Linked DNA regions of Callithrix jacchus. The main gene of each other region encodes a partner of the protein of the gene in region 3 in a complex. Links are inferred from orthologs where the notes say so. Each region holds a gene or a part of one and is shown on either strand. Other genes may lie near its edges.

Evidence for each region.
Region 1: SART1 (region 3) and LSM7 share a complex: the UniProt entries of both Homo sapiens proteins name them as parts of the U4/U6-U5 tri-snRNP complex. The link is inferred for Callithrix jacchus from reciprocal best matches to the Homo sapiens genes SART1 and LSM7.
Region 2: SART1 (region 3) and LSM4 share a complex: the UniProt entries of both Homo sapiens proteins name them as parts of the U4/U6-U5 tri-snRNP complex. The link is inferred for Callithrix jacchus from reciprocal best matches to the Homo sapiens genes SART1 and LSM4.
Region 4: SART1 (region 3) and LSM2 share a complex: the UniProt entries of both Homo sapiens proteins name them as parts of the U4/U6-U5 tri-snRNP complex. The link is inferred for Callithrix jacchus from reciprocal best matches to the Homo sapiens genes SART1 and LSM2.
Region 5: SART1 (region 3) and LSM6 share a complex: the UniProt entries of both Homo sapiens proteins name them as parts of the U4/U6-U5 tri-snRNP complex. The link is inferred for Callithrix jacchus from reciprocal best matches to the Homo sapiens genes SART1 and LSM6.
Region 6: SART1 (region 3) and LSM8 share a complex: the UniProt entries of both Homo sapiens proteins name them as parts of the U4/U6-U5 tri-snRNP complex. The link is inferred for Callithrix jacchus from reciprocal best matches to the Homo sapiens genes SART1 and LSM8.
Region 7: the proteins of SART1 (region 3) and UBL5 are in contact, whole or in part, in a crystal structure (PDB 4PYU), measured with the Homo sapiens proteins. The link is inferred for Callithrix jacchus from reciprocal best matches to the Homo sapiens genes SART1 and UBL5. Residues at the interface, in NP_005137.1 of Homo sapiens: Ser117, Leu118, Ser119, Ile120, Thr123, Leu126, Arg127, Leu130, Leu132, Lys133, Leu135; in NP_001041706.1 of Homo sapiens: Met1, Glu3, Arg15, Lys17, Cys18, Asn19, Asp21, Asp22, Asp26, Lys29, Leu30, Ala33, Gln34.

What each region holds. Positions count from the first base shown.
Region 1 is NC_133523.1:2,193,180-2,197,471, forward strand, and holds the start of LSM7 (U6 snRNA-associated Sm-like protein LSm7), read right to left. Parts: upstream 2,801-4,292; 5' UTR 2,797-2,800; coding exon 2,707-2,796; intron 2,625-2,706; coding exon 2,534-2,624; intron 1-2,533. Other genes in the region: SPPL2B (signal peptide peptidase-like 2B), read left to right, coding at 2,865-2,930. UniProt on the Homo sapiens protein: Plays a role in pre-mRNA splicing as component of the U4/U6-U5 tri-snRNP complex that is involved in spliceosome assembly, and as component of the precatalytic spliceosome (spliceosome B complex).
Region 2 is NC_133523.1:17,038,834-17,042,995, forward strand, and holds the start of LSM4 (U6 snRNA-associated Sm-like protein LSm4), read right to left. Parts: upstream 2,801-4,162; 5' UTR 2,739-2,800; coding exon 2,736-2,738; intron 1-2,735. UniProt on the Homo sapiens protein: Plays a role in pre-mRNA splicing as component of the U4/U6-U5 tri-snRNP complex that is involved in spliceosome assembly, and as component of the precatalytic spliceosome (spliceosome B complex).
Region 3 is NC_133511.1:123,038,019-123,042,088, forward strand, and holds the start of SART1 (U4/U6.U5 tri-snRNP-associated protein 1), read left to right. Parts: upstream 1-1,270; 5' UTR 1,271-1,318; coding exon 1,319-1,631; intron 1,632-4,070. UniProt on the Homo sapiens protein: Plays a role in mRNA splicing as a component of the U4/U6-U5 tri-snRNP, one of the building blocks of the spliceosome. May also bind to DNA.
Region 4 is NC_133505.1:39,306,746-39,310,708, forward strand, and holds the start of LSM2 (U6 snRNA-associated Sm-like protein LSm2), read right to left. Parts: upstream 2,801-3,963; 5' UTR 2,701-2,800; coding exon 2,698-2,700; exon of another isoform or gene 2,566-2,697; intron 2,097-2,565; coding exon 2,029-2,096; intron 1-2,028. UniProt on the Homo sapiens protein: Plays a role in pre-mRNA splicing as component of the U4/U6-U5 tri-snRNP complex that is involved in spliceosome assembly, and as component of the precatalytic spliceosome (spliceosome B complex).
Region 5 is NC_133504.1:50,820,501-50,824,629, forward strand, and holds the start of LSM6 (U6 snRNA-associated Sm-like protein LSm6), read right to left. Parts: upstream 2,801-4,129; 5' UTR 2,168-2,800; intron 1-2,167. UniProt on the Homo sapiens protein: Plays a role in pre-mRNA splicing as component of the U4/U6-U5 tri-snRNP complex that is involved in spliceosome assembly, and as component of the precatalytic spliceosome (spliceosome B complex).
Region 6 is NC_133512.1:88,800,659-88,804,628, forward strand, and holds the start of LSM8 (LSM8 homolog, U6 small nuclear RNA associated), read left to right. Parts: upstream 1-1,170; 5' UTR 1,171-1,315; coding exon 1,316-1,346; intron 1,347-3,970. UniProt on the Homo sapiens protein: Plays a role in pre-mRNA splicing as component of the U4/U6-U5 tri-snRNP complex that is involved in spliceosome assembly, and as component of the precatalytic spliceosome (spliceosome B complex).
Region 7 is NC_133523.1:9,021,370-9,025,380, forward strand, and holds UBL5 (ubiquitin-like protein 5), read left to right. Parts: upstream 1-1,211; 5' UTR 1,212-1,354; intron 1,355-1,611; 5' UTR 1,612-1,622; coding exon 1,623-1,678; intron 1,679-2,152; coding exon 2,153-2,236; intron 2,237-2,387; coding exon 2,388-2,425; intron 2,426-3,627; coding exon 3,628-3,671; 3' UTR 3,672-3,781; downstream 3,782-4,011. UniProt on the Homo sapiens protein: Ubiquitin-like protein that plays a role in cell proliferation and sister chromatid cohesion by associating with spliceosomal proteins. Participates thereby in pre-mRNA splicing by maintaining spliceosome integrity.

The DNA.
Region 1 (4,292 bases), on a different chromosome or scaffold from region 3:
GCAGTGACCTCTGCCATCTGATCCTGCTCCCCAGTGTCTGGTGATTGGCCCATCCTCCCTGCCTGGGACGCCTCACCCCTCCCCTGCAGGCTCCTCCGGCCCAGGCCTCTCCTGCCGAGGATGCACTTTTGCGCTCTCTGAGGGGCTTCCCAGTGGCTGCCCCACCCTACTTCTCACCCCTGCCACCTCTCAGGTGCTTTCTCCAGACACCAACCCACCCACACCTCTTAGGGTGCTGCCCACTGTACCATCCCCCAATCCCAGGAAGCAGGCACCCTGGGCATTATTCTGTCTGCCTGAAAGGCGGGGCCTAGTGAGCTGGCCCACGGCCGCTCCGCGCACACCCAGGGCAGCCATGTGCAGGGAGGGGTGCGGGGTGAGGGTCTGCAAACCATGACCCTCAGGCCAACCTGGCCCGCTGCCCATCCCGTAGTGAAAGTCCCAGGGCCCAGCACCACACGCGCCGCTCCCGCTCCAGCGCTGACCACGGCAGGTCTCCCGCTCTCCCCGCATAGCTCACTGGTTTCAGAGACCATCTGGGATGCAAAGCTGAAGGTATTTGCCGACCAGCCTTTGCCTACAGAGAAGGTCTGACTGCCCAGGCTTGGGCCCCCCTCCCCAGCTCGCTCTCTGTGCTCTCAAGTTCCTCTCCTGCAAAATGAAACTCATCACCACCGGGGGCGGTGGCTCACGCCTGTAATCCCAGCACTTTGGGAGGCCGAGGCGGGTGGATCACGAGGTCAAGAGATCGAGACCATCCCGGTCAACATGGTGAAACCCCGTCTCTACTAAAAATACAAAAATTAGCTGGGCATGGTGGCGCGTGCCTGTAATCCCAGCTACTCGGGAGGCTGAGGCAGGAGAATTGCCTGAACCCAGGAGGCGGAGGTTGCGGTGAGCCGAGATCGCGCCATTGCACTCCAGCCTGGGTGACAAGAGCACAAACTCCGTCTCAAAAAAAAAAAAAAAGAAACTCATCACCTACACAATGGGGCCAGACACATCTGTTCAGGTGCCCAGCACTGGCCTGACCAGAGTCCCCTCTCAAGGGGACAGACGTGAGCACCGAGGCAGGTGGGTGCACCCAAGGTTCCTCTCCCCTGGAGAGCTAGGTTCGGAATCCCCACCCCTGGGGCATGTGACTGACTGGACAAGACGTCACTCTTGCAGTCAGGTGACGTGAGGAAGACAAGGAACTCTGCAGCTGTGATTGAAGCCCGGGAACCAGCAGACTGTAAGCCAATCTGGAGGGAAACAGCCTGGGTGGGCCTGAGGGCATCAGGTGAGCCCTTCAGGAACCAGACCTTTCTGCTTTTTTTTTTTTTTTTTTTTGGAGACAAAGTCTAGTTCTATCATCCTGGTTGGAGTGCAGTGGCATGATCTCCGCCTCTCATGCGCAAGCGATTCTCCTGCCTCAGCCTCCCCAGTGGCTGGGACTACAGGCATGTGCCACTATGCCTGGTTGATTTTTGAGTTTTTAGTAGAGACGGGGCTCTGCCATGTTGGCCAGGCTGGTCTCAAACTCCTGAACTCAAGTGATCTGGCGCCTCAGCCTCCCAAAATGCTGGGATTACAGGCGCCTACCACCACACCCAGCCAATTTTTGTATTTTTAGTAGAGACAGGGTTTCACCGTATTGGCCAGGCTTGTCTCGAACTCCTGAGCTCCTGATCTGCTTGCATCAGCCTCTCAAAGTGCTGGGATTACAGGTGTGGGCCACTGCGCCCACCCTGTCTGAGGCTGTTTAGGTTGTCGCGACTTGGTGGAGGCCAGGGATACTGCTCAGCACCCTGCAGTGCCCAGGTACGGCCCCAACCCAGAGAATGATCCGGCCCCAAATGTGTCCACACTGTTGGTGCCGGGAGAGATCTTGACATGGGTGGGGGAGAAACAGAAGCCGGGAGATCTGTGGGGAGCTGGGGCAGCCCTTGGACACACAGGACTGCTCAGAAGGCCAACCCTGAAATCCCAATCCCTGCTATGCCACTGTGACTTTGGGTTCCGTCTGTTTCCCGCCCCGTGCCTCAGTTTCCTTGCATGCAAAATGGGCATACCAGTTCCTACCTCCCGGTGTAAGTAGGAATACCGCATAAGGTAGTCTAAAGAGGGGCCTGCGAGGCCAGGCGCGGTGGGTCACGCCTGTAATCCCGGTACTTTGGGAGGCCGAGGAGGGAGAATCAATTAAGGTCAGGAGTTCGAGACCAGGCTGGCCAACATGGTGAAACCCCCGTCTCTACTAGAAACACAAAAATTAGCCGGGCGTGGTGGCCGGCGCCTGTAATCCCAGCTAATCGGGAGGCCGAGGCAGGAGAATCGCTTGAACCCGGGAGGCGGTGGTCGCAGTGAGCCGAGATCGCGCCATTGCACTCCAGCCTGGGCATCAGACCGAGACTCGGTCTCAAAAAAAGAAAAAAAAAAAAAGAAAAGAATAAATAAAAGCGGCGCCTCCGCATGCATGCGTCCTCATCATCGCTCTTCCTGGGTTTATTTCAGAATTTTAAAGGCGAGGTGCCGACGGCGGGAGCCTCCTCACCTTCGCGGCCTCCCTGGAACTTCACCCGGATCGTCTTGTCGATGTACTTGGACAAGTCCAAGATGCTCTCCTTTTTCTTCTTCTCCTTATCCTGCGGGGAAAGCAGAGCGCGTGAGGCGCGCAGCGCGGCCCGAGCCCCACGCCCCCAGCTCCGGATCCCGCCGCGCGCTCACCGCCATCTTGCCGCGCCGCGCCGCTCTGCGCAGGCGCCACCCCGCGCCCTTTGACCCCCTCCCGGCTTCGCAGGCGCATGCGCGGCGCATGCGTGGCCCGGGGTCTCGCGGCGTTGCTGGGAAACATCTGTCGACGGTTGCGGTGGGCACCGGCCGACATGGCGGCGGCGACGGCGGCTGCGCTGGCGCGGCTTGTGGCGCCCTTTCTGCTCCTCGCGGCCCAGGTGAGCGCGGCGTTGGTTCCGACGGCCCCGCAGGCTACGGCTTCTGGGCCTCTCGGCCCCCGGGCTACGCCCAGGAACGACCCAGGTCGTCTCCGGGGGTTCCAGCCTCGGGGATCCGCGGTCACCGCGCCGTTGGCCGGCGGTGCCGGGGCCTGGCCGTGACCTTGCGGGGCTGTCCCCGGCTCGTCTCCCGTCCCTGCCTCGGAGGCCCTGCGCCGCCGCAGCGCCCCTCACTTCCTACCGGGTCTGAAGCTTGTGCCCACTCCATCCCTCCGTTCTGCTTGTCCTCTTCGGGGTCTCCAGCCGCCGCCGGGGTCGCCTGTCTCTGGCTCTGTGGCCTTGGGCAGGCGGCTGCCCACCCCGCGCCGAGCCTCAGTTTCCCCGTAGGCGGAACGGGCGGGGTGCTGGCTAGCCTCACCCTAGGGGGTGCCGTGGGGAACCCAGAGGCGTCCCGCGCGTCCCCGAGTGTCTGGCAGCGCCCTGGAGTGGCCAAGAGCCCAGCCCTGCTCTGGGGCTGCATCCCTGCTCCATCTTTTAGTCTGTGACCTTGGACAAGGGAATCCCCTGCTTGGAGCGTCAGCTGCTCGTCCGCAGGAAGGCTGAGGATGGTGTGGATTCTGGAGATGATGCCCAGGGTGACCAGCGCCCAGGGCCAGCACGCCCTCGTTATGTTAATCGTGTGTCGTTTGCTGCAAAGCATCTCAGGTTCTCGTGGGGACAGTCTACGAGATAGCACTGCCCTAACTGCGTTTTTTATTTTCTTATTTCCAAATCTTCCCTCTCTCCTGACTTTAGGAGCGCAGCCCTACAAATGCGGCCCTTAACCTTGACTCCTCTCTCCGAGTTCTCACTCTTAAGGCGTCGCTGCCACCGGCGCTCTCTCAGCCCCACTCCTCCAGCTCCGCCGTCCTCCCCCTGCTGTGGCTGCCTTTGTCCCCCATGTCCCCAGTCCAGCCTCGACACAGCAGGAGTGACCCTGTCACATCCAGATGAGTGTGTCCGTGCATTTGTGACCTGGCTATCAGAAGCCTGCAGTGGGCTCCCTGGCCGTTTCTCTTACCCTGGAAGCCCTCCGCAGAAGCTTTCTAACAACCCCACCCCCTGCTGCTCTTTCGGCCCCCTGGACGTCCCCCCATTTTGCAGCCAGGGACCTACAACTCCCCAGACGTTTGGAAGGAGGGAAGAACCAGAGGTGGAAGGAAGGTTCCCTCCTGGAGTTTGCCTGGAAAGGGTTTTCCAAAGCAGGTGTGTGTGTGTGTGTGTGTGTGTGTGTGTGTGTTTTGAGAGGGAGTCTTGCTCTGTCGCCCAGGCTGGAGTGCAGTGGTGCCATCTCAGCTCAGTGCAACCTCCACCTCCCAGGTT
Region 2 (4,162 bases), on a different chromosome or scaffold from region 3:
AAAAAGTGCCAAGTGTGATGGGAGCGGCCCCATCACCTGGCTCAGGGAAGATCACAAGAAAATTCAGAAAAGAGAATTCCTTTCTCTGCGCTTTCTTGGAACACCTGGAGTCTGGTTCTCAGGTTTAGACCCATGAGGACTAAATCCAGTGGCTCCTAATTCCAGAAGCTTTCCAGGACTGCCCTCCCCGGCTGCTAACCCAGGTCACTCCTAGTCCTACCCTGACCACAGGGAACTGGAAGTGTGTATCCCATGAGGCCTTGTCCATTCTTTTTGTTTTCCCCTGAGACGGAGTTTCACTCTTGTTGCCCAGGCTGGAGTGCAGTGGCACAATCTAGGCTCACTGCAACCTCCACCTCCTGGGTTTAAGTGATTCTCCTACCTCAGTCTCCCAAGTAGCTGGGATTACAAGCATGTAATCCCACCACTCCAGGCTAATTTTGTATTTTTAGTAGAGACGGGGTGTCTCCATGTTGGCCGACCTCAGGTGATCCACCCACCTCGGCATCCCAAAGTGCTAGGATTACAGGCATGAGCCACTCCACCTGGCCCGCCTCGTCCATTCTTGGCCACTCCTCCAGGAAACGCCTGGATAGCCAGGACTTGGGGACTCTGGATGTTCAGAAGGTGGGGACGGGCTGAATGAATGAGTTCTAACTTTGCCCACGCACCGTTCTACACAGTGGGAATAATAGAGGGAAGAAAAATGAAGATCCTGCTTCCATAAAACTTGTCACAGGATGGACCCTTCCAACTCTGCCCTCGGGGACACAGCAGGAGGGGCCGGCTCCCTTCTCTGAATTGTTGCACTTGAAACCGCCTTCGCAACAACTGTACCTGAGGAAATTATGACAGCAAAAAGAGATCAGACCTAAGCAACTCCATCTTGCTTGTAACCTTTAAGCTGTCCTTGCTCTTTCCTGGGCATAGGCCGAACTAACCTTGGGAAGAAATTCAGTCTATAGTTTGACTCTGAGACAAGATTGGTAATAGCTTTTTCCAGAAAACACCCTCTTCTTACCTGGGGACCAGTCAGCCTTTGGAGGACTGACAAGCTGCAAGATTAGAAATTATCGTTTAGGGGTCACGAAGCCTCTGGCTCAAGAGTCTGAACCTCCCCAAATTGCTCCTGGGGATAACATCACTATTATAAAAATCTAAGATCAGTGCTTGAGATATTTTTGCAGACCCTGTACTAGGTGGATCCGCTGACACCACCCAGACGAGTAATGTGGCTCAACCAGTCCCGCAATCCCACCCACGGACAGAATCCCACCCAGGAACAGAAGACAGCAAGAAAATCTCACTTCGACCTCCTCAGGACTCCATCTCCAACCTCAGGAAGCTCCAGCCAATCAGCACCCCCCACTTCCTGAGCCCCTACCGACCAAATCATCTTAAAAACTCGGATCCCCTAGGCTGGGTACAGTGGCTCACCCTGTAATCCCAGAACTTTCAGGAGGCTGAGGTGGGTGGATCACCTGAGTTCAGGAGTTCCAGACCAGCCTGGCCAACATGGTGAAACCCTGTCTCTACTAAAAATACAAAAAAATTGGTCGGACATGGTGTGGTTGACGCCTGTAATCCCAGCTACTCAGGAGGCTGAGGCAGGAGAAAAGCTTGAACTCGGGAGGCAGAGGTTGCAGTGAGCCAAGATTGTGCCACTGCACTCCAGCCTGGGCAACAAGAGTGAAACTCCAGTCTCCTGCAGAGCTGGCTCTGTGTGAATTGCTTTCTCCATTGCAATTCCCCTGTCTTGATAAATCGGCTCTGTCTAGGAAGCAGGCTAAGTGAACCCACTGGGTGGTTACACACTGACCCCAGGATTTAGGGAGCATCTCTTACTAATCCTCAGCTCTGATGCAGCCACCCCTGTGGGTCCCTCCTGGTTACTAAATCTCCCACTGTCTCACAGAGTCTGGAAGTCACATCCCCAACAAAGGCCTAGATTTCTCTCCCTGAAAAAAGAAGCGCCAGATGCTGATGGGCCAGGAAATTCCCAGCTCCGACTTCGTTTTCCGATCTGCACATTGAGGACACGGGCACTTTCTGGCCCAGATCCAGAACTTCCATAATCACAAACATCTGGCCCTGCAGAGACCTGGGCCTCAGTTTTTCCTTCTGTGTATTGGGAGGATGCACTTTATCCACTCCTGCTCAAAATGCCCCCTTCCCCTGGAATGACATGCTATGTGACCCAAGGAGAAAGACCACACCCCAGCACCAGGCCCGATTTTCAGACAGAAAACAACAGGCCTAGGACGCTGTGCTGCGAGCATTTTATGCATCTTGCAAGCTCTGAAATTCCTAAAGCTAAGTTTCACAACTCAGACTGGCCCCCTACTTCCCAGCACTCTAATTTTCAATCTGGGAGGTCTGACCGGGCCCGAAGCGTTCGGGGCCCCTTCCCTGCCCAAAAACTTGCATTTGGCGGGCCCCCACCTTTTTTGACCTCAGTTTCCCCACCTGAGGGGAAAAAATGGGAAAAACTAAGTAAAGCGAGCCCGCTGTACTACGGATACAAGCCCGTGCAACCCTAAATCTCAGACACAGACGTCCTAGAGCCATCTGCAGTCTCCAGCCTCAGTTTCCCAGCCTCGTGCCGGGAGACGGAACGCGAGGCTCTGACTCTACGTTCACCCCGCGCCAACCCAACCGTCAGCGCCCGCCCGGAGGGCTCCCAACGCCTGCGGCTCCCGCCTCCCGATGAGACCCCGCCGTTGCCCTGCCCTCACCATGGTGCCGGCGGGGACCGGGCTCGCCGGCCACTTCCGCCACCGCCGCTGCACACGCTCCCGGCGGTCGTCGCAGCGCCGCGCGCCACTAGGCTGAAAGAAAGTGGCAGACACGCGAGCCAGTCAGCACTGGGCTCGAAGGGCGGCCAACCAATCCACGCGGAACACGGCGGGGCCCTCTGGGCGAAAGGGGCGGGCGGGCCGCGTTCCCGCCGGAGGAACGAGGAATAGAGCCGTAAAGTGTCGCGACTTGTAATGCAAAAGGGGGCGGAGCAACGCGCCCAGGCGCGGGGTGTTTTGTGGGTAAGCGCATGCGCAGGTGAAGCCGTCGGTCTCGGGCTCCACGCTGTGGGCAAAGCCAGTTAATGCCTTTCGTTTGCAGTCTTAGAGACAGCGAGGTCTCGTGGTGATTGGGACGTCCCTCAGGTCGCCCTTCGGACTCCTAGTTTTCTAATTCTGTAATTATCCAGGAACATCATTTAGTGGGTTGGAATCCTGACCACGCCCCTCGGAGCCTCAGTTTGCTGTAAAATGGGTTATAATAGTAGTGTCTGCTCCAAAAGGTTGCTTGCTGTGAGGATGAAATGAGTGAAACTATGTAAAAAGCACTTAAAACAGCGCCTGGCGATCGGGCGCGATGGCTCACGCCTGTAATCCCAGCACTTTGGGAGACCGAGGCGGGTGGATCACGAGGTCAAGAGATCGAGACCATCCTGGTCAACAAGGTGAAACCCCGTCTCTACTGAAAATACAAAAAAAATTAGCTGGGCATGGTGGCGCGTGCCTGTAATCTCAACTACTTGGGAGGCTGAGGCAGGAGAATTGCCTGAACCCAGGAGACGGAGGTTGCCGTGAGCCGAGATCGGCCATTGCACTCCAGCCTGGGTAACAAGAGCGAAACTCCGTCTCAAAAAAAACAAAAAACAAAAAAATAAAATTAGCCGGCAGTGGTGTAATCCCAGAATCGCTTGAACCCAGGAGGCAAAGGATCACGCCATTGTACTCCAGCCTGAACCCAGGAGGCAAAGGATCACGCCATTGTACTCCAGCCTGAGCAACTAGCGAAACTCTGTCTCAAAACAAACAAAAACAGGTCTGGCGCATATTAAGTACTTAACAATATACTTTGTGCCTGCTTCTGCTCACAGAAATGAACAAAACACAAAATTCGTGGCTCTCAGGGAGACAGTAAACAAAGTAAATAGGCAAATGCTGTTGTTTCCTGGGGCTGTAACAAACGCCTGCAAACTGAGAGGTTTAAAACAACAGAACGTGATTTTCTCACAGTTCAGGAGACCAGATTCTGAACTGAGGCTGTCAGTGGAGCTGGCTCGCTCCGGAGGCTCTGTGTGTCCTGTGCCTCTTCCTGGGTTCTGCTGGCTGCTGCCAGTCCTTGGAGTTCCTTGACTTATACATGGAGTCTTCTG
Region 3 (4,070 bases):
GCAAGAACTGTGACTTCTCCACCCCATCCTCAATGTGTATGCTGGGTCCTAGAAATTCAAGCGTGAATAAGATGGAACGACTCCCGCCTCTGAGGATGCCCAGTCAGTGGGAGGGGGGGTGGACCCTCAGAGGGGTGCATACAACATACCCTAACACAGACTGACTGTGCCACACAGGGAGCCACAGTCTTAGTAACCGTTGGGTGGGGGGAGGGGTTTCAGGAGGGAATGTGTGCATTGGTCTTTTTAAGTTCCAGTAGTTTTAAGTTAGGGATCCTCTCCTCAAGAAAAAAAATCATACACACAGATGTGCCATATTTTGCATTCAATTTCAGGGGTTCCACGGACACACTGACACCCATGTGGAGCTCCTTAACAGTTCACACGTTTAAAAAACCCAATCCAGGGCCAGGCAGAGTGGCACACACCTGTAATCTCGGCACTTGGGAGGCCAAGGCGGGTGAATCGCTTGAGCTCAGGACCAGCCTGGACAACATAGTGAGACCCCCGCCCCCATATCTATAAAAAAATACACAAATTAGAGGGGCGTGGTAGCGTGCACTTGCAGTCCCAGCTACTGGGAAAGCTGAGGTGGGAGGATCACTTGAGCCCGGGAGGTCAAGGCTGCCGTGCACGGTGATGGCGCCACTGCACTCCAACCTGAGGAACAGAGTGAGATCCTATCTCAAGAGAAAAACAACCCGGGGGACGTGGGAAGGCAGCGTTCCCTGAGGATACTGGTTCTAGGGAGTCGGAAGCTGGGCTATGCAATTGGGGACCTCGGGAAAACAACACCCGTTGGAGCCACGACCCCAGGAGTCCAGGAAGCGAGCGCCCACTGTAGGAGGGAGGTGTCCACGGAGACCGTGAGGTAGTGAACACCACGTTGCCGGGGAAGTACAAGCGCAGGGAGGCCAAGGAGGAACTTCCAGCCTCGAAGACACTGGCTTAAGGTGTCTGAACACATTTGATAGTGTTCAGTAAAGTTATTTGCTGTTTGTGTGGTGGGTGGAGCAGGTCTAACTCCTTCCAGTTTTGGGATCCCATCTCCGGGGTTAATTCCGCGTCCCTTGAGGAGCGCATGCGCAACAGGACCACCTGCTCACAGAACCCACTGGACCCAAGACCGCGCGAATGCGCAGTGGAGCCCTGATCCTAGCCTTCCCATGAGCCTCTGGGGCAGGCTCCAAGGCGAGCGGCGGAAGCAGCCGCTCTTAGTTTCCCGCAACACGACAGCGGCTGCCGAGCGACCCGGAAGTGTTCCCATTTTGCGTTGTCTGGGCTCGGCAGCGGCCGGGCTTGGGGCTGACGCGCTACTATGGGGTCGTCCAAGAAGCACCGCGGAGAGAAAGAGGCGGCCGGGACGACGGCGGCGGCCGGGACCGGTGGGGCCACCGAGCAGCCGCCGCGGCACCGGGAGCACAAAAAACACAAGCACCGGAGTAGCGGCAGTGGCGGTAGCGGCGGCGAACGACGGAAGCGGAGCCGGGAACGTGGAGGCGAGCGCGGGAGTGGGCGGCGCGGGGCCGAAGCTGAGGCCCGGAGCAGCACGCACGGGCGGGAGCGCAGCCAGGCAGAGCCCTCAGAGCGGCGCGTGAAGCGGGAGAAGCGCGACGACGGCTATGAGGCCGGTGAGGAGGCGGGACCTGCTCAGGGGGCGGGGCGGGCAGGGGTCCCGGAGCGGGCGGGTCTGGGTGTGCGCGCAGTGGCTGCGAAGCTCTCCAGGCCGGGAAACCCCCAGACTGTCTACGTTAACTCCTATTAAATAGTTTTTCTACGGCACCTCTCGAGCCCAAGAGTTAGAGGCTGCAGTGAGCTGCAATCGCGCCAGTTGCACTCCAGTCTGGTCAAGAAAGCGAGACTGTCTCAAAAAAAAGTATTTTCTATGGTTGATTAGGATTAGAGATTGACTTTCTCCACCTAGCTCCTTGAGGACAGAGGGCTTCTGTTTTCCTCAGTTGTCTGGTACAATTACAGATCCTCAATAAATGTGTTGAATGAATGAATGAAGTAGTATCAGCGTATGCAGAGGCGAGAGAAACCTGGTATTGGAAGAATCGTGTAGGGCTCATGGTAGTGAAATGAGGGAGTAAGATAAAGATAGTTAGGGATGTGAACACAAAGGACCGTGTACCGTAGGTTCCGTTAAGAAATATAGATTGTCTTGAGGTTGGTAGGGAGCCATGGATGTGAGTTGAGGAGTGAGTTGCTCAGATCCATATTTTGTAAACATTGCTGGATTGAGAACTTAGTCAAAGGTAGTCAGGATTGGAGACCAGGAAATCAGGACTGCTAGAGACCACATGAGGGCCGATGGTAGCCTGCACCAATGCAGCAGCAGTGGGATGGAGAGAAGTGGACAGGTTGGAGAGGTGTTTTGGAGGAGGAATGAACAGAACTCAGCACTTGTATGAGACTGGGAAGGAAAAGGCATTGAGAATGATTCCTTGAATTTTGACTTGAGCAGCCAGATGAGTTGTGGGTGTCATCTCTACTGAAACTGAGGAGCAGAGAAGAGAAGCAGATTTGGAGGGGGATGGATAATTGGGGTTGTGGAGCTTGATGTGCATGTGAAAAGCCAGAGTTTGGACTGGATAAAGCCACTGGGAGTCAGTATCTGGGTGGCCAGTGAAGCTTGTAGGGCTGATGGCCCACAGGGTGTGCCTTATGCTGTGCTGAGGCGCAGGATCCAAGGAATAAAGAGACAGGACAGGCCGGGCACGGTGGCTCAAGCCTGTAATCCCAGCACTTTGGGAGGCCGAGGCGGGTGGATCCGGAGGTCAACAGATCGAGACCATCCTGGTCAACATGGTGAAACCCCGTCTCTACTAAAAATACAAAAAATTAGCTGGGCATGGTGGCGCATGCCTGTAATCCCAGCTACTCGGGAGGCTGAGGCAGGAGAATTGCCTGAACCCAGGAGGCGGAGGTTGCGGTGAGCTGAGATCGCGCCATTGCACTCCAGCCTGGGTAACAGGAGCGAAACTCCGTCTCAAAAAAATAAAAAAGAGACAGGACACAGAAGTACAGGGAAAATGCAGCTGGGCTCGAGGGGCCACGCCCCTATGAGTGGAGTCAGGTGAGGCCCCAAATGTCCAGAAGCGTGAGTGTTTGTTGTGTTTAGGTTAGGGGGCAGGGCAGTGAGTGAAGTCATCTTTAAGGATAGTGATAGGGTCGTGAGCAATAAAACAAGGGGTCCACCCCATTAGGTCACCTAGGCTGGGAGGTGGACAGTGTGCAGCAAGGCGTCCATTCCCATTAGGTCATCAAGGCAAGGGCCGTGTGCAGTAAGGGGTCCACCCCCATTAGGTCACTGAGGTATGGAGGTGGGCCATGTGCAGTGAAGAGGGTGCAGTGTGCAATACCTCTATCTATGGGTAAGCTACTAAGAAGATTTATAGGAGGATGCTTTAAGTCACATAGCAGTGACAGAGCTGTCAGGGTCTATGCCACCTGCTGGCAGCTTCCAATAAGTTCTATAGAGGAATGCTTTTCGAGCAGCACAGTAACAAGAGCTGATAAAGTTCACAGTCACCAAGGTGTGATTGCCGGTCTGAGGGCAGCCTTCCACAGGAACTGGTGCAAGGTCCTACAACTCCTTTATCAGGAGGAGTGGCTCTTGCCCCAAGCCTGCCATACAGCGGGTATCTATAATACTGAATGCTGCTGCCTAGGCCATGGATTCTTGCCCTGGTATAACATTTTTCCCTTAAATCATGCGGTGCTCTGTGTCTGCTCTAGGCATTCCTCCGATTATAAGCTGCTTATTCCTTAATTCATGCTCTGTACTGTATCTACTCTAGGCATTCCTCTGATTATAAACTTAGATATAGTTTTAATATATATGAAAATAACTGAGTGGTAAGATATTCTTTAGGCACTCATTCTATGAACTAATGTGTGATCATATAGAGAGGATTGTACAAAGGGAAATAACTGAGTAGTAACACTGTAAACAGATACTCTCCAAGCCCTAATTCTATAAACTAATATATAATCATATAAAGGATTATATAAAAAGAAATAACTGAGTAGTAACACTATAAACTGAGGTATTCTCCAGGGCTTAA
Region 4 (3,963 bases), on a different chromosome or scaffold from region 3:
GCGTGCCTATAATCCCAGCTACTCAGGAGGCTGAGGCAGCAGAATTGCCTGAACCCAGGAGGTGGAGGTTGTGGTGAGCCGAGATAATGTCATTGCACTCCAGCCTGGGTAACAAGAACGAAACTCCGTCTCAAAAAAAAAAAAAAAATTCTCAAGTATTTAAAACCCAGTGTCTGGGCCGTGCAAGGTGGCTCATGCCTGTAATCCCAGCACTTAGGGGTGATGAGGCGGGTGGATCATTTGGGGTCTGGAGTTTGTGACAAGCCTGGCCAACATGGTGAAACCTCATCTCTACAAAAAATACAAAAATTAACTGGGCATTGTGGCAGGCAGCTATAATCCTACCTACTCGGGGAGGCTGAGACAAGAGAATCACTTGAACTCGGGAGGCTGAGGTTGCAGTGAGCCGATAAGAGTAGTGTTACTGCACTCCAGCCTGGGCAACAGAGTCAGACTCTTGTCTCAAAAAAAATAAAAATAAAAAAAATAAAGGATAAACAGAAAACTAATGCCTGCACTGCTTTTAAATCTCCTCCCACTTGTATCTTTTATTTTAATCTTATTTCAGGACTTAGACTAAATGCTGTATTTTTGAGAGACTTCTCCCTGTCCTTCTAGCCCCGTAGAACCTTCTATCAGAGAGTCTATATTCTTCCTAATGGGTGCTTCTCATTTTGTAGAAATAACATTTGCTGTTTATGGCCTGTTCTTTTTTTGTTTTGAGATGGGAGTCTCACTCTGTCGCCAGGCTGGAGTGCAGTGGTGCAATCTTGGCTCACTGCAACCTCCACCTCCCGGGTTCAAATGATTCTCCTGCTTCTGCCTCCCTAGTAACTGGGACTACAGGTGCGGGCCACCACGCCCAGCTAATTTTTGTATTTTTAGTAGAGACAAGGTTTCACTATATAGGCCAGAATGATCTAGATCTCTTGACCTCGTGATCCTCCCACCTCAGCCTCCCAAAGTGCTAGGATTACAAGTGTAAGCCACTGTGCACCATGCCCATCCTATGGCCTGTTCTTTTTTGAGACACAGTCTCCCTCTGTCACCCAGGCTGGAGTAAAGTGGTATAATCATGGCTTGCTGTAGCCTCGACTTCCTGGGTTCAAGTGATCATCCCACCTCAGGCTGGGATTAGTCCCTAATAACTGGGACTACAGACATGCATCACTACACCTGGCTAATTTTTAAATTTTTTGTAGAAATAGAGGTCTCACTATGTTGCCCAGGCTAGTCTCAAACTCCTGGACTCAAGTGATCTTCCTATCTCAGCCTCCCAAAGCACTGAGGTTACAGGTGTGAGCCACCATGACCAGCCTAGTATTTACTTTTTTTTTTTTTTCCCAGATGGAGTCTCACTCTATCATCCAGGCTGGAGTGCAGTGGCACAATCTCAGCTCACCGCCATCTCTGCCACCTAGGTTCAAGCGATTCTCCTGCCTCAGTCTCCTGAGTAGCTGGAATCACAGGCGCCTGACACCACACCTGGCTTATTTTTGCATTTTTAGTAGAGACAGGGTTTCACCATCTTGGTCTGGCTGGTCTTGAACTCCTGACCTCGTGGTGACCACCCATCACGGCCTCCCAAAGGCTGGGCTTACAGGTATGAGTCACCTCGCCCAACCCGAGAGCCAGGGAGCCTGGCTACTAGTACTTACTCTTTAAACTATATAATGCTTTGTATTGTTTTCCAATACACAGCATAATCCCAAGCTTATCTGTAAATTTAAGGCACAAGGCACTTATTTTTAAATTTTTCTTAGAGATGGGGTCTTGCTCTATTGCCTGGGCTAGAGTGCAATGGAGTAATCATTGCTCACTGCAGCCTCAAACTCCTGGGCTCAAGCGATCCTCCCTCCTCAGCCTCCCAAAGTGCTGGAATTACAGTACTGAGCCACTGAGCCCTACCCATTTATTTCTTCCTTATATCTTCCACCTCTCCCAGCCTTCAAATAGTTCTCAAATTAAAGAGGTTCCAGGGCGTTGGGCACACCCACCCCCAACAGACTTGTTGGAACAGGTACCTACCTCAGGTCATTCTTGAGTTCCACGACCACATCCTTGCCCACAAGGGACTTGAAAAAAGAATAGAAGAGCTATTGGGTGAGAGGGGGAAAACCATCATGTGGGAAGGAACATGGTAGGGAGGAGTGTCCCTTGCCAGTATTACCAAACACTGGTATTGTGAACCCCACTGCATCTCTGACAGTTCTCAAAACTTCACAGGAAAGAATAATCGGCTGACAGAGGTGAAAGGCTGGAGCCTATATTATTCCACACACTGCATTGAGCCCATCACTTAAAGTTCCAGAGAGGCTCTGCCCTGCATACGTCGGCCCAAGTGTGCTCTCTCAGTCGGCCACCTTCCTGGGGTCCCTGCCCACTCCTTTCAATGAACTGCAGAAAATATCCCACCCCCACCCGCCGGAAGCCTGCTTGGTCTCCGGCAGATTAAGTGCTCTAAGGTCTAACTTTTCTGTCTCCCGCTGTCCCCATTGACTCTCTCTCAGGGTTGAGTTTTTTTAACCTCCCATGGAAAAAAAAAAAATTCCCATTTGCTTTCAGGTATCTCCTCAACGAACTTGAGGCACAAGACTAAGGACCTAAAACTCCAGCCCAGGGGGACAAAGGCCAGACTCCCCGCCCCAACCGTCCGAGCTCCCCGAGGGCACCACCTTTTGACTTCACAGTACCCACCATGGTTTTGGCGCCGCGGGCAGCGGGCCGGACCGGGAAAAGATCAGGCTGCCGCCAGCAGGTCTGGGGAAACCGAAGCGGGAGCCCGCGCGTGGGGCGAGGCGGGGCCGCGCAGGCGCAGCGTGAAAGGACGTAGACAGCTCCAAGCACTGAAGGGGAGAGCGCGGCCGACTTGTGGCTGGGGAGAGCACTCTGGGTAGAACCGAAGGGAGGAGGAAGCCGGGAAAGGGGCGGGGTTCCTGCATTCCGACTTCCTCCCGGGCTGGCCGGCTCCCATTGCGCACGCGCGGACCCGGGCCTGGGCTGCTGGGCGGGTGGCGGGACTCAGCTCCTCAACTCAAAGGATACTGTTCTTTTCCAGGATCCTGTCGTCCATAGCGTCAAGTCCTCCTGATTTACACACACTCCTAATCGAGAATTGTGGGGAGTTTGTGAAGATTATGAAGTATGCACTTTTCTATATTGGTTAAAACCATAAAATGTAAAAGTTTTGAATCTTTTTTTTTTTTTAATTTTTTATTGGATTTTAGGTTTTAAGGTACATGAGCAGAACATGCAAGACAGTTGCGTAGGTACACACATGGCAGTGTGCTTTGCTTTCCTTCTCCCCTTCATCCACATTTGGCATTTCTCCCCAGGCTATCCCTCCCCACCTCCCCCTCCCACTGGCCCTACCCTTTTCCCCCCAATAGACCCCAGTGTTTAGTACTCCCCTTTCTGTGTCCATGTGTTCTCATTTTTCATCACCCGCCTATGAGTGAGAATATGCGGTGTTTCATTTTCTGTTCTTGTGTCTGTTTGCTGAGGATGATGTTCTCCAGATTCAAACGACACAAACTCATAATTTCTGATTGCTGCATAATATTCCATGGTGTATATGTGCCACATTTTTCCAATCCAGTCTATTATCAATGGGCATTTGGGTTGATTCCAGGTCTTTGCTATTGTAAACAGTGCTGCAATGAACATTCATGTACATGTGTCCTTAGAGTAGAACGATTTATAGTCCTTTGGATATATACCCAGTAATGGGATTGCTGGGTCAAATGGAATTTCTATTTCTAGATCCTTGAGGAATCGCCACACTGTCTTCCACAATGGTTGAACTAATTTACACTCCCACCAACAGTGTAAAAGTGTTCCTTTTTCTCCACATCCTCTCCAGCATCTGTTGTCTCCAGATTTTTTAATGATCGCCATTCTAACTGGCGTGAGATGGTATCTCAATGTGGTTTTGATTTGCATCTCTCTGATGACCAGTGACGA
Region 5 (4,129 bases), on a different chromosome or scaffold from region 3:
ATGTTTACCTGTAAGTTTTTACCTACTCTAGAGTACTTAACAGTTTAGCGTGGAAAAAATTGAAAAGCAAAAATTGCAAGGAAACAACATTAGAACCCAAGTAATTGCAGCGTGATACTAAGATAGCAGTGTCTGACGAGGCAATCAGACACCGAGGACAGCTCTCTAAATTCCTCCCTCTGACACAGTGGAGAGCCGGGCTGTCTTTTGAAGACAATCCCTCCTTCCCGAGCAGCTGGGGCCTCTTCTCTCCCTCTCTTCCAAAGGCGAAGTTAGTCCACTGAAAGCACCTCTTTCCACTCTCAGTCGTGGCCCTTATCAGGCCGTTTTGTAATGTTTCCATTTGCTGACTGATCTCCCACAGTGAATTTTAAGCTTCTTGGGGACAGGGAAAATATCTCACTCACTTGGTAACCCTGGTATCTAAGCATACTGTCCAAGTCTGTGGAAGTGACATTCAAAGCCAGTGTCAAGCAAAATTCCTGTCCAGCCCCCACCAGCCCAAACTATGGGTACAGTGACTAGTAATATCAAGTGTGTACTTCAACAAATACTAATCAAGTAATCTCTATAATGAGCACCAAAGACGGAGAAAACAACTGTTTCTGTCATTCAAGAACCAGCTGTATCCAAATCTAGAGATGCTTGTTAAAATGCAAATTCCTGAATCTACTGAGGCAAAGGCACTATACATTACATTATAAAGTTCTCCAGATAATTTCTATAAGCAAATGGTTCTCAACTAGGGGCAATCCCCCCTGTCCTCCCCCACCATGCTCAGGGACAGCTGGAAATATCTGGGGACACCATGAACTCTCATGACTGAGGAAGGTGGTGCTACTACTATACTAGTGAGTACAGACCAGGGATGCTGCTAAACATTTTACAATGCACAGGACGGCCCTCCACAACAAATGCGTCCAGGCCAAAAAGTCCATGGAAGTTGAGAATCTCTGCTATAAGCCCTAAAATAAAAAAAATTTAAAAACCAGCAACATTGTTCTTTGGCCTTAAAGTGAGGAGTTTTAAAGAAATCTCCCAAATATAGCAAATGAGAACCAACACCTACATCTAACCAAATGATGGAGTGTAGATTATAATTTATCAGGGATTTTTTTTTTATTCTAACATATAGAGAATCTGAAAACAACTGTCAAAGCCTTGAAGGGGTTGCCATTCTAAATAACGGATTTCTAGCCTTGGCCATGAAAATGATCACTTTACAATTTTTCAGTACTAAAGATCCCTCTGATGATTAAAATCTGTTAGTACACTTTTAAAAAAGAGAATAATCCAAGTGATGTAAACATATTTTTAAATTCTAATATCTACTATGCCACAGTTCAGTGAGAGGCTGCCTGATGCAGCACAGAGTACTCACTTGGGAGGCAGGAAACCTCAGTTCTAATCCCAGCTCTGCTACTTAATTGGCTGTGTGACTTGGATAACTCATCTCACCTCTCATGGCCCCAGGTTCCTCATCTGCAAAATAAGGGGGCTTTGCTAGATGACCACTTAGGTCTCTTCCTGCTCTAACATTCAGGCAGTCTACTGCAGTTAACTCCAGTGATACACACTACAGACATAAGCCTCTCAAGATTTCTGCACAATATTCAAGCAAGTAAAACTGCCAACCACCTCTAAAACTTTTTTGGAAAACACTGCAGCAATGTGCATGAAAGCCTAAAGACCTTATGGATGACAGCATCTATCTGATAATTTCACTTCTGAGAATCTAGTCCAAGGAAATAATCTACAGGATGGGGGGGAAATGTTTATCAAAATATGATCTGGGATGCTAAGATGATGCAAAAATTCAAAAACAACCAAATGTCCCACAGTCGGGAAATGACTGAATAATTTATGGGACCTACACTGGGATCCACAATGATGGGCCAGCCACTCAAAAGAAGATACAAAATTAGAATAATATTTAGGAAGAGTTTTTAAATGGAACTGGAAAACTACACTGTTAAGTAATTAAACATGAACAGTCCTAGTCCAAGTAGACGCTGGTACATACAGGAGAAAAAGATGGCAGGTGAAAGGGTTCAGCGAATATTATTTTCTTCACTAAAGTCTTCTATGTTTGCAATTTTTCTACAACAGTCACGTATTACTAAGAGCAGTAGGGTGGGGTAATTCCAATCATCCTAATCCTACACACCTTAAACAAAAATGCCCGCTATTCACGCGCCGGGGCACAAACGCGGACACATAGAAAACCTCTGGCGATAGGACTTAAGACCATACAAGGGGTTCCCCGACTAGACAACTCGGTAATTCAGGTTAGTCCAGTCCTTAATTCCTGTGGTTAGGCGCAGCCACTCCGATGTAGGGTAGGCTTCGCAATTCTCTGAAGCCTGGAAGAATCCAGGCAAAGCCTAGGCCTAGATTCGGGATCCGCTTTCCCGCCGAATCCTGGGATTAGCGCTGGGGTTCCCTTGGGGAATTTCGATAACCTCCGAACAACTTCGTGCAGTCTCGAACGCCAAATCGACGCCAGCCGGGACGGTGCCGCTCCTCTCGGCGCAGTGTAGACGCCTCGCTGACGGCGGTTCCAGGCGCCCACCAACAGATCACTCCCGGCCATTACGTGCACACAGAGCTTGGAAGCGGCATTTCGCGGGGACCCACCACCCAGCAGTCCCTCCCCGGAGCCCCAGCCCGCTCCCCGCAGGCCGTTTCCGAGGCTGCTCGGCTCGCGCAGCCACGCGGCTCACCTCGTCGGCGGGATCCAAAATCCTCACTACAGGTGCCCCAAGAGCCCGGGCTCCGCGGACTTCATCGAATCGAAACCGAAACCGGCGAGGCAGCGGTACTTTTCTGCCTCAGCCAATCAGTGTTCTTCTCTGCTACGGCAGCCCGCTGGGGCCGAAAAGGCCGGTCCGCGCCAAAGCGCTCAAATCCAAGAATCCTGGTTGGTTTGTCCAGTGGCGAAATTGGTGCAAAGGAATTCCTCTAACAGAAATCCGGATACAACACAAATACAATTCAATACAAAACAAAAACAAAAATCCAGAAAGCTAGAAGTGATCTTTTGGGCAGGATTTATTTGCAGTGTAAAAAATAACTTGAAGTCATAGAAAACTGGAATTTACAGTTTTAAGTAACTGCCGTGTGTACCCAGAAACGTCCTTGAATAGTTTAAAGCAAACAAATAAATAAAACAAACACCTCAAGTCTTTAAATCTGCCTCTGGATATTGATTAAATGTGTGAAGACTTAAGCCATTTTAGCAAGAGACTGTTTCCATGGCAATGTTAATTGATACGAAAATAATTAAAACCACTCAAGTAACTCCGAATTATAATGACGTTAATTGTGTTACATTATAAACTAGTTCCAATTGAAAATGGTGTGCAGACATTAGCTAAGTGCTACCTGTGGGAACTTGGTTTGGAATTTTGCATGAATTCTCAATACTCTTGCTATTAATAGGATTGGAGAGGAAAAAGAAGAGAACAGTCACACCAGGACTTGGTTCCTTTTTCCCTGTCACATACTTTCATCAGCTGAAAACTTATACTTTATTTTATTTATGATTTGTAACACTATACACAAAGTGATAAGATCTTCCAACACAGATCCTTAACTCCATTAAGTGTTATAAAATCTAAGATGCAGAATGTTTTTCTAAGATAAAGAGTTTCTCCCTTGTATCCCTCTTTTGGCTAAAGGCAGAAGAAATGAACCCTTGGTATCAGGGACAGAAAGCAACTGGATGTGATTTGGTAAAGAATAGAGACTTCCTTATATCCTTCTACAAAAGCTCAGTTTGGGTAAAGACAAAACCGTTACAGACTTATTAAGAGGGCTGTATTTGAAGTTCTTGCAATATAAAATATAATGTAAATAAAAATTTTAAGAAAAGTGCCATTAAAATTAAATAATTAGTTGCAAAGAACAAACATGATAGGATAAAAAGCCCTGTCCCTAAAAACATTCTTTGCAAAAGACATCAAATTGCACACTCCCTACTGGTTGTTTCAATTATTCAAAAAACAGTAAGTTTTTGATTCAAATTTCTTTCCCTTTCCTACAGACCCCTGATGGAGCGATTAACACTGGTGTGGTGGGTAGGGAGCCATGAGGAGTTTAAAGGCCTCGTTCATCTGAGGAGCAGCTG
Region 6 (3,970 bases), on a different chromosome or scaffold from region 3:
GAGAATATGAGACATTCACAATCCAATTCCTGACTACACTTGATTTCAAACAGATCGGAATAAGTTCCAGAATATAAAATATTAACTATTTGGTAGTCATCTTGCAGGTATTTTGTGGGTATGCTCTAATTAAGAAATGCTTCCTTTTCCGAGGAAAACTGCTGAGGTTGCAAGAGTGATTCCAAAACCACAATTCTTAAGAAATCACAAGTTTAACTGAAATCATAAAGATATTTTGTAAAAAAAAGAAATCACTCCTGCTGGTGTTTTATGTATAAACCTTTTTCTAACTTCCAGCTCTCTCATGTTAGGGCACCACAGTAAATAACGTATAGGCACAGTGGCATTTTCTAGTATCATGTCTGGAAATATCTTAAACGGCACCTATAGCAGCATCTAGGGAAACTGAGGCCCAAAAGAGTTGATGTGACTCGTGCAATGACACCAATTTGCTAGCAGAGCCAAGATAAGAACCAAGTTTGGTACTTTTCTGCATCAGTCCTTTCTCGGTGCTGCAGGAGCCTTTTACTTACTAATTTAACCCTAGGGAAGGGTAGACCATCGTGGCATGGTAGAAGCGTGGATATTCATTTTCTAAGGAATGATCACACACCTTTGTCTATTTGCATTTAGTTTCTTTAAAAAGTAACAGCACCTCTATTTGGGAGTGCTTTTAGAAACAAAAGCAGAACATACGAACGTGCTTTTCATTGATGATTTACACTGTGCCGTTATAACGTGCGCAACTTTGTCCCGGGCAACTGGACTTATTTTTAGTGTTATTTTCATCTCCTGCTGCAGAAAACTAGAGATTCCCCTACCCGCACCTGCATTTCACACAACAGTACTTGTCTCTTCTCCTCCTTCACTCCTAATAAAAACACCTTATCCCGTTTCTTCCTGTCTGCTCTGCCTCGTCTCAGCAGTCTTACTTATTAACTTCCACCACACTGAAAGAAAACGCACCCTCTCACCCTCACTCTTACGCCACCTTCAGGAAGCTTCTTCCTTTTCCGTCTCTCGCTCGCTTTTGTCTGCCTCTAGGTCACTTTTGTCTCGCGCGGTTTCCGGAACACGGCCCGGAACTACAGCGAAAACACACTGCGTACGCGCGCTCTATCTTCGCCGCTGTGCGGCTTCTGTTTGATTGGCCAGTTCATTACAATTTCCGATTCGGGGGCAGCTGCGCGGCAGCAGGTCTCGCGACATTGCTGCGGCCCGGCAAGCGCAGGCCACAGCAGGGTTCTAGCGCGCCCATTCAGTTCCGCCTGCCGCCGGCACCGGTGTGTTACCCGGAACTGCCGGGCAGAGCAGCATGACGTCCGCCTTGGAGAACTACATCAACCGTATCCTCAAGGTTGCCGCCGCGGGCGTGAGCCGGGGTTACGGAGACACAGCCAGTCAGGATCGGTGGGAGGTTGGGAGACCCGACCGCGGCGGGATCTTGGGGGCGGGCGAGGGGAAGAGGACCCCGGAACGACCCATAGTTTACCGGCGGCTGCTGGAGCCTGCAGCTGCTGCGGGCCCAGGGGTCCTTTCCTTGTCGCCTGCAAAAGCCGGATAAAAACCCAGTGTGATTATTCCGAACTTTTCTCTCTTGAAAAAAAAAAAAAAAAAAAATACGTTCTTGATTCTTTACTATTTCCATAAGACTTACGTGTTCAGGTTTATAAATAAGATGAACAGTCGTCCGGGCGGCGACAGCAGTTTTAAAAATCTTTGTCTTGTTTTATTCATATAATTTGCTCATTAGTTTGAGGATAGCAAAAAGTTTAACGATGGTTCACAGACCAGGTTTCAGTCCCTTTACCACTTGAAGTCTCAACTTATTGGTAGAATGAAAAAAATGCTTGCTGTTGTATTGGATTGTAGTGAGCAGTAAGTAACAAAAAACCGCATGGGAAGTCTTAAAATAGACTTTGCAAGTGTTACCGTTTTAAAGTCTCAGGACAGAAGCACGACATTGTGCTCATGTACAAACTGGATGACAAATTAAATACCGAATGCTTTTAATCATGTGGGCATTATTGGTATCTTGTGACACTGATTATATAGTTTGTTTGCTTTTTTAATTAAAGAAGACTGTCCTGGAAGACAGTTTTTTAACATGCTTGAAAATGGTCCAACACAGATTAATTTAGTAGTCATTCAGTTTTCATTTTAGAAATGAAGAAATAGACCTTAGAAACAAAATATCCTGCCCAAAAATCATAATTGGCAGCATTCCTGATAGAAAAGTGTCAAAAACCCAGGATTTTTTTTTTTTAGTTCTGTAGTCTCTTTATTTTATTTACTTTATTTTTATTTTTAAAGAAGAAAAGAAAGAGAAAAAAGGAGTGAAGGAGAAGAAGAAAGAGGAAGAAAAAAAGGGAGAGAAAACAGGAATATTGCTTTATTCTAAAAAATGGGTATTAATAATGGCTGGTCAATATTTTGTGTATTTAAAGTGAAGAATGTATATTTTGTGTATTTAAAATGGAGAGCTCTATAAATATTGATTAAGTTTACTTGTTCCAGATCTGTGTTCAAGTCCTGGCTGCCCTCATCAATTTTCTGTCTCGTTGAGTCTAAATCTCTTTATAGGTCTTATGTATCTGGGTGTTAGGATCGTTAGCTGTTATTGTTACATTGATCCTTTTACCACTATATCTTTGTTGCTTTGAAATCTATTTTATCAGACGTGAGAATTGCAACTCCTGCTTTTTATTTATTTATTTATTTTTGCTCTCCATTTGGTTGGTAAATCTTTCTCCATCCCTTTGTTTTGAGTCTTTGTGTATCTTTGGATGTGAAATGGGTCTGGATGTAGCATACCATTAGGTTTTGGCTGTATCTTTTGATTGGGGGATTTAGTCGACTTAAATTTAGGGTTACTGCCATTTGATGTTAACTGGCTATTTTATCCATTCGTTGATGTAAATTCTTCTTTATGTTGATGCTCTTTACTTTTTTGGTATATTTTTAGAAAGGCTAATACTGGTTGTCCCTTTCTATGTATAATGCTTCTTTCAGAAGCTCTTGTAAAGCAGGCCTGATGGTAATAAAATCTCTGAGTACTTGCTTGTTCAAAAAAGATTTTATTTTTCCTTCAATTGTGAAGCTTAGTTTCTCAGAATATGAAATTCTGGGCTGAAAGTTCTGTTCTTTAAGGATGTTGAATATAGGCCCCCACTCTCTTCTGGCTTGTAGGGTTTCTGCTGAGAAATCTGCTGTAAGTCTAATAGGCTTCCCTTTGTGGGTGACCTGACCTTTCTCTCTGGCTGCCCTTAGTATTTTCGTCTTTGTTTCAACCTTGGTGAATCTAACAATTATGTGCCTTGGGGTTGCTCTTCTTGAGGAATATCTTTGTGGTGTTCTCTGTATTACCTGGGGTTGAATATTGTCCTGCTTTGCTAGATTGGGAAAGTTTTCCTGAATAATATCCTGAAGAATATTTTCCAGCTTGGATTCATTCTCTTCGTCGTATTCAGGTACATCTATCAAACGTAGATTAGGTCTTTTCACATAGTCCCATATTTCTTGGAGACTTTACTCTTCCTTTTTATCCTTTTTTCTCTATTCTTGTCTTCTCATTTTATTTCATTAAGTAGGTCTTTGACCTCTGATATCCTTTCTTCTGCTTGATCAATTCAGCTATTCAAACTTGTGCATATTTCGCTAAGTTTTCGTGTTGTATTTTTTAACTCCGTTACTTCATTTATATTCCTCTGTATATTGTCTATTCTTGTTAGCATTTCGTCAAACCTTTTTTCAAAGTTTTTAGTTTCTTTACATTGGGTTAGAACAAGTTCTTTTAACTCCCAGAAGTTTCTTATCATCCACCTTCTGAAGCCTACTTCTGTTAATGGCACACAGTCCTTTTCCATCAGGGCTTGTTCTGTTGCTGATGAGAAACTGTAATCTCCTGTAGAGGAAGAGGTGTTCTGATTTTGGGTATTCTCAGCCTTTTTAAGCTGGTTTCTTCCCTTTG
Region 7 (4,011 bases), on a different chromosome or scaffold from region 3:
ATGGAAAATAAGGCATAAGAATAGCAAAGGGAATTAAAAGCTGGATAAAGGGCAAAATAAGTCGAGAGCAGAAGCAAGGTGAAGGGGAGGGTGAGAAAAAAGGAAGATAAAAGGCAGAAGCCGAGCAGCAAAACAAAAGGAAAATAAAAAACTGAGCAAGGATCCCATGGTCGGCAAAATCCAGACCAAACTAATAAGGGGCAGCTCTTCAGGGATAGTTAAGTGCATTAAAGACAAAAAGTACCCTTAACATAAGGATGATAATCAGCTCATTAGCGCTCATGCATATGGAGGGTATATCACGCAAGAACTTAAAATTAACGCATGGAGGCGGCCCTCAAGCGCACAGAGGTCAAAGTAACTAAGCAACACACATATCAATCAAAAAGGCAGACACTGGCTAGAGATTAGGCAGCCTTGGGAAGAAAAGAAAAAAAAAACACATAAAAAGAACCAAACTACACCAAGCTGGGGGTGATCTCATCTCGCAGAGGTCAGTCTGCTCTCCCACTTCGACTGGAATACTGTGCTTACTAAGGTTGCTGCTTTGCTATCGCTGTGTGTCTCATCCAAATCTTGTTCGGGACACCAAGAGCCTGGAACTGTGAGGCACCATAAGGTAACAGCAGCTATTGGGCAGCGTGGAGTCTAGTCCAGGATCAGGCTTCGCCTACTGACTGGAGTCCACATCCCCGGGGGACGCGACGGCCAGAGGGCAGAGGTGAGCAGAATGCTCACGAGGCCCTGCCCTGAATGAACCCAAGGGGTCAGAAGGGATAACTGCAGGACTCGCATCTCCCACCCTCCGCCCTCGCTCCTCGTAGTTGCAGCAAGAGGCTTCGGGCTCAGGATCAGAAGGAGCTCATCCCGAACCCCGGGACCTTCTGGCGTCCTCACCATGCGACCGAATCTCCCCGCAATGAACAATGGCTTCAAACGAGCTGGGAGCCGGCACCGACCTCTGGCTCTCGTTCCACACCCCTTCCCCGTCCCCACATCCGCCGAAGCCCCCGGTTCTACCCCGTGTGCCTACCACAGGCGTCCGCGTGCCAAGCCGTGCTTGGGACACCGAAACCGTACCTGGGAAGAGCAAGCACACTCCCTACCGCAAACACGGAAGAACTTAACCCAGTGTTGACCACACCCCCTGGCCAGGGGCGGGGCTTCCGGCTCCTCACTTTTACTTCCGCTTCCGGTTCCCAGCGTTAACTGCGGCCGGGGTTCAGCGCTCGTACGAGGACCTAGTGGCGTCGGCAGGTTCGAGGCGATTCGAGGTGAGGGGGTCAAGCGGAGAGGCCCGCAGTCGGGGAAAGCTGTCGCGCCCCCGCCACCCAGGGTCTGGGGTCAGTGGCAGGTGAGACCATAGAGTTTTGTGGCCGGGCCTTCTGGCGGCGAGAAGTGGAGGCGCGGCTGCCTGGGGTTCGCGGTCTTGGGACGCGGGATTTGGGGCCTGGGAGTATTCGAGTCCGGGGGGTTGAGGGCAGAATGGAAGGCTCAGTAATAGGGATTTTTAGGGCCTGGGATTGGGAGACTTGTAAGCTGGTTCTTCTTGGCCTGGGAGACCCCTGAAAGTCTAACTCTGTTGCCTCCCACCCCCGCGCTCCTGTGTAGCTCCAGCTAGGATGATCGAGGTTGTTTGCAATGACCGTCTGGGGAAGAAGGTCCGCGTTAAATGCAAGTATCCACTGGCAGCCGAGAGGCAGTGGTACCCGCAGGGGTGCTTGACGTGAGGCGGGTAACTCAATCTGTGTTGTCGGAGGGCTTTAGTTAAACCCGGGAGAGGCCGAGCGCGGTGGTTCACCCCTGTAATCCCAGCACTTCGGTAGGCCGAGGCGGGCTGATCACGGGGTTAACAGATTGAGACCATTCTGGCCAACATGGTATTTTTAGTCTCTACTAAAAATACAAAAATTAGCTGGGCCTGTTGGCGGACACCTGTAGTCCCAGCTACTTGGGAGGCTGAGACAGGAAAATCGCTTGAACCCGGGAGGCGGAGTTTGCAGTGAGCGGAGATCCTGCCACTGCATTCCAAAAAAAAAACAACAAAAAATGGGGAGAAGAGGGGATAGGGTTCTGGCAAATGGTGTGCAGCCCCAGAATGTCCTCTTCCGTGTTCTACCGCTCCCATTTGCCTTAATTCCTCTGCGCCCAGCACGGATGATACCATCGGGGACCTTAAGAAGTTGATTGCAGCCCAAACTGGCACCCGTTGGAACAAGATTGTTCTGAAGAAGTGGTGAGTGCAGTGGTAGAGCCACGAGGTGGACTGGTCTAGGCCTGAAGGTTTTGGTTGTGGGAGCGCAGCAGGCAGCTCTTTGCTACCCTCAGTCTGCCTCCAGGCTGAAGAGCCCCTTTAGCCTTGTCTCTTAAAGGTTTCTTTTCCTTAGGTACACGATTTTTAAGGACCACGTGTCTCTGGGGGACTGTATCCTTTGTGTGACTTTTTGAGGCAGCATCTACATACCCAGCCTCGGTTATCTTTGTTCGAAATTAAAGTCTGCATGAGATTATGCATATTAAGTGTTTAACTTACTATGTGGCACATGGTGAGCACTTAGAAAATAGGAGGAGCTAGGTAATTATTTGGTTGGGGAGGAGGGTGGTTGACTGGTGAAATAGTTTGACTTCAAGTTCAAAATACTTATTTTTGAGCTCCACCTGAGTGCTGGACAGTAGGTCAAGGTGGAGTGAGACTCAGGCATATCTATTGTACAGAAGGTACAGAACCTTATTATTATTTATTTATTTAAAAAAATTTTTTTAAGACAGGGTTTCACCATGTTGGTCAGGCTGGTCTTGAACTCCCAACCTCAGGTGATCTGCCCACCTTGGCCTCCAAAGTGCTTGGATTACAGGCATGAGCCACCACACCAGCCACCTTATTTTATTTATTTAGTGTTTTGAGACAGCCTGGAGTGTAGTGGTGCGATCTTGGCTCATTGCAACCTCCACCTTCTGGGTTCAAGCAATTCTGCCTCATCCTCCCAAGAAGCTGGGATTACAGGCATGTGCCACCACTCCCTGCTAGTTTTTGTATTTTTAGTAGAAATGGGGTTCCACCATGTTTGGCCTCAAGTGATCCTCCCGCTTTGGCCTCCCAAATTGCTGGGATTGTAGGTATGAGCTATTGGGTCTGGCCTAGAAGGAACAGAAACTTTTTTTTTTTTTTTTTTTGAGACAGAGTTTCGATCTTGTTCCCCAGGCTGGAGTGCAGAGGCACAATCTTGGCTTACTGCAGCCTTTACTTCCTGGGTTCAAGAAATTCTCTTGTCTCAGCCTCCTGAGTAGCTGGTATTACAGGCACCTGCCACCACGCCCAGCTGATTTTTTGTATTTTTAGTAGAGATGGGGTTTCACTGTGTTGGTCAGGCTGGTGTTGAACTCCCAACCTCAGGTGATCCGCCCACCTTGGCCTCCAAAGTGCTTGGATTACAGGTGTGAACCACCATGCCCGGCCCAGAAATTTTTTTGTAAAGTTTCAGTTCTCTCCAAATAAAAATGACCCAGTCCAAAATGGTCTTTTTTAGCCCTGGGCTGAGACCTTAGGCCACCCTGACCCAGTTGTGAATGAATGAAAGGAGTGGGGATGGAACACAGAGTCAAGATTCCTTAACACCTTTCCTTCAGATGAAATCCACGATGGGATGAACCTGGAGCTTTATTATCAATAGATGAGAATTCTCATCTTCCTGCTGCCCCACTCTCCCCTCCCATCCTCACCCCCCACACTGGGATAGATGCTTGTTTGTAAAAACTCACCTTAATAAAGACTTAGATGTTCTTTGTTGTCTCTTTACATGAGAGCTGTCTAGTGATGGGTAGATTGGTCGCTCTTTGGTCATTTCTGTATCATCAATGTGCATCTGCTAAAATAAGGGTTCCAAATCAACTGGATCCATGAAGGCAGAGTAGATCAGCAGGCCGGGAGTCTGAGGGAGCCCAAAGAGAGCTCTGGGCTTTGCTGTGGGTGTGCGAAGGTCAACAGGCCCTAGGATTATAGTTACCCTAATA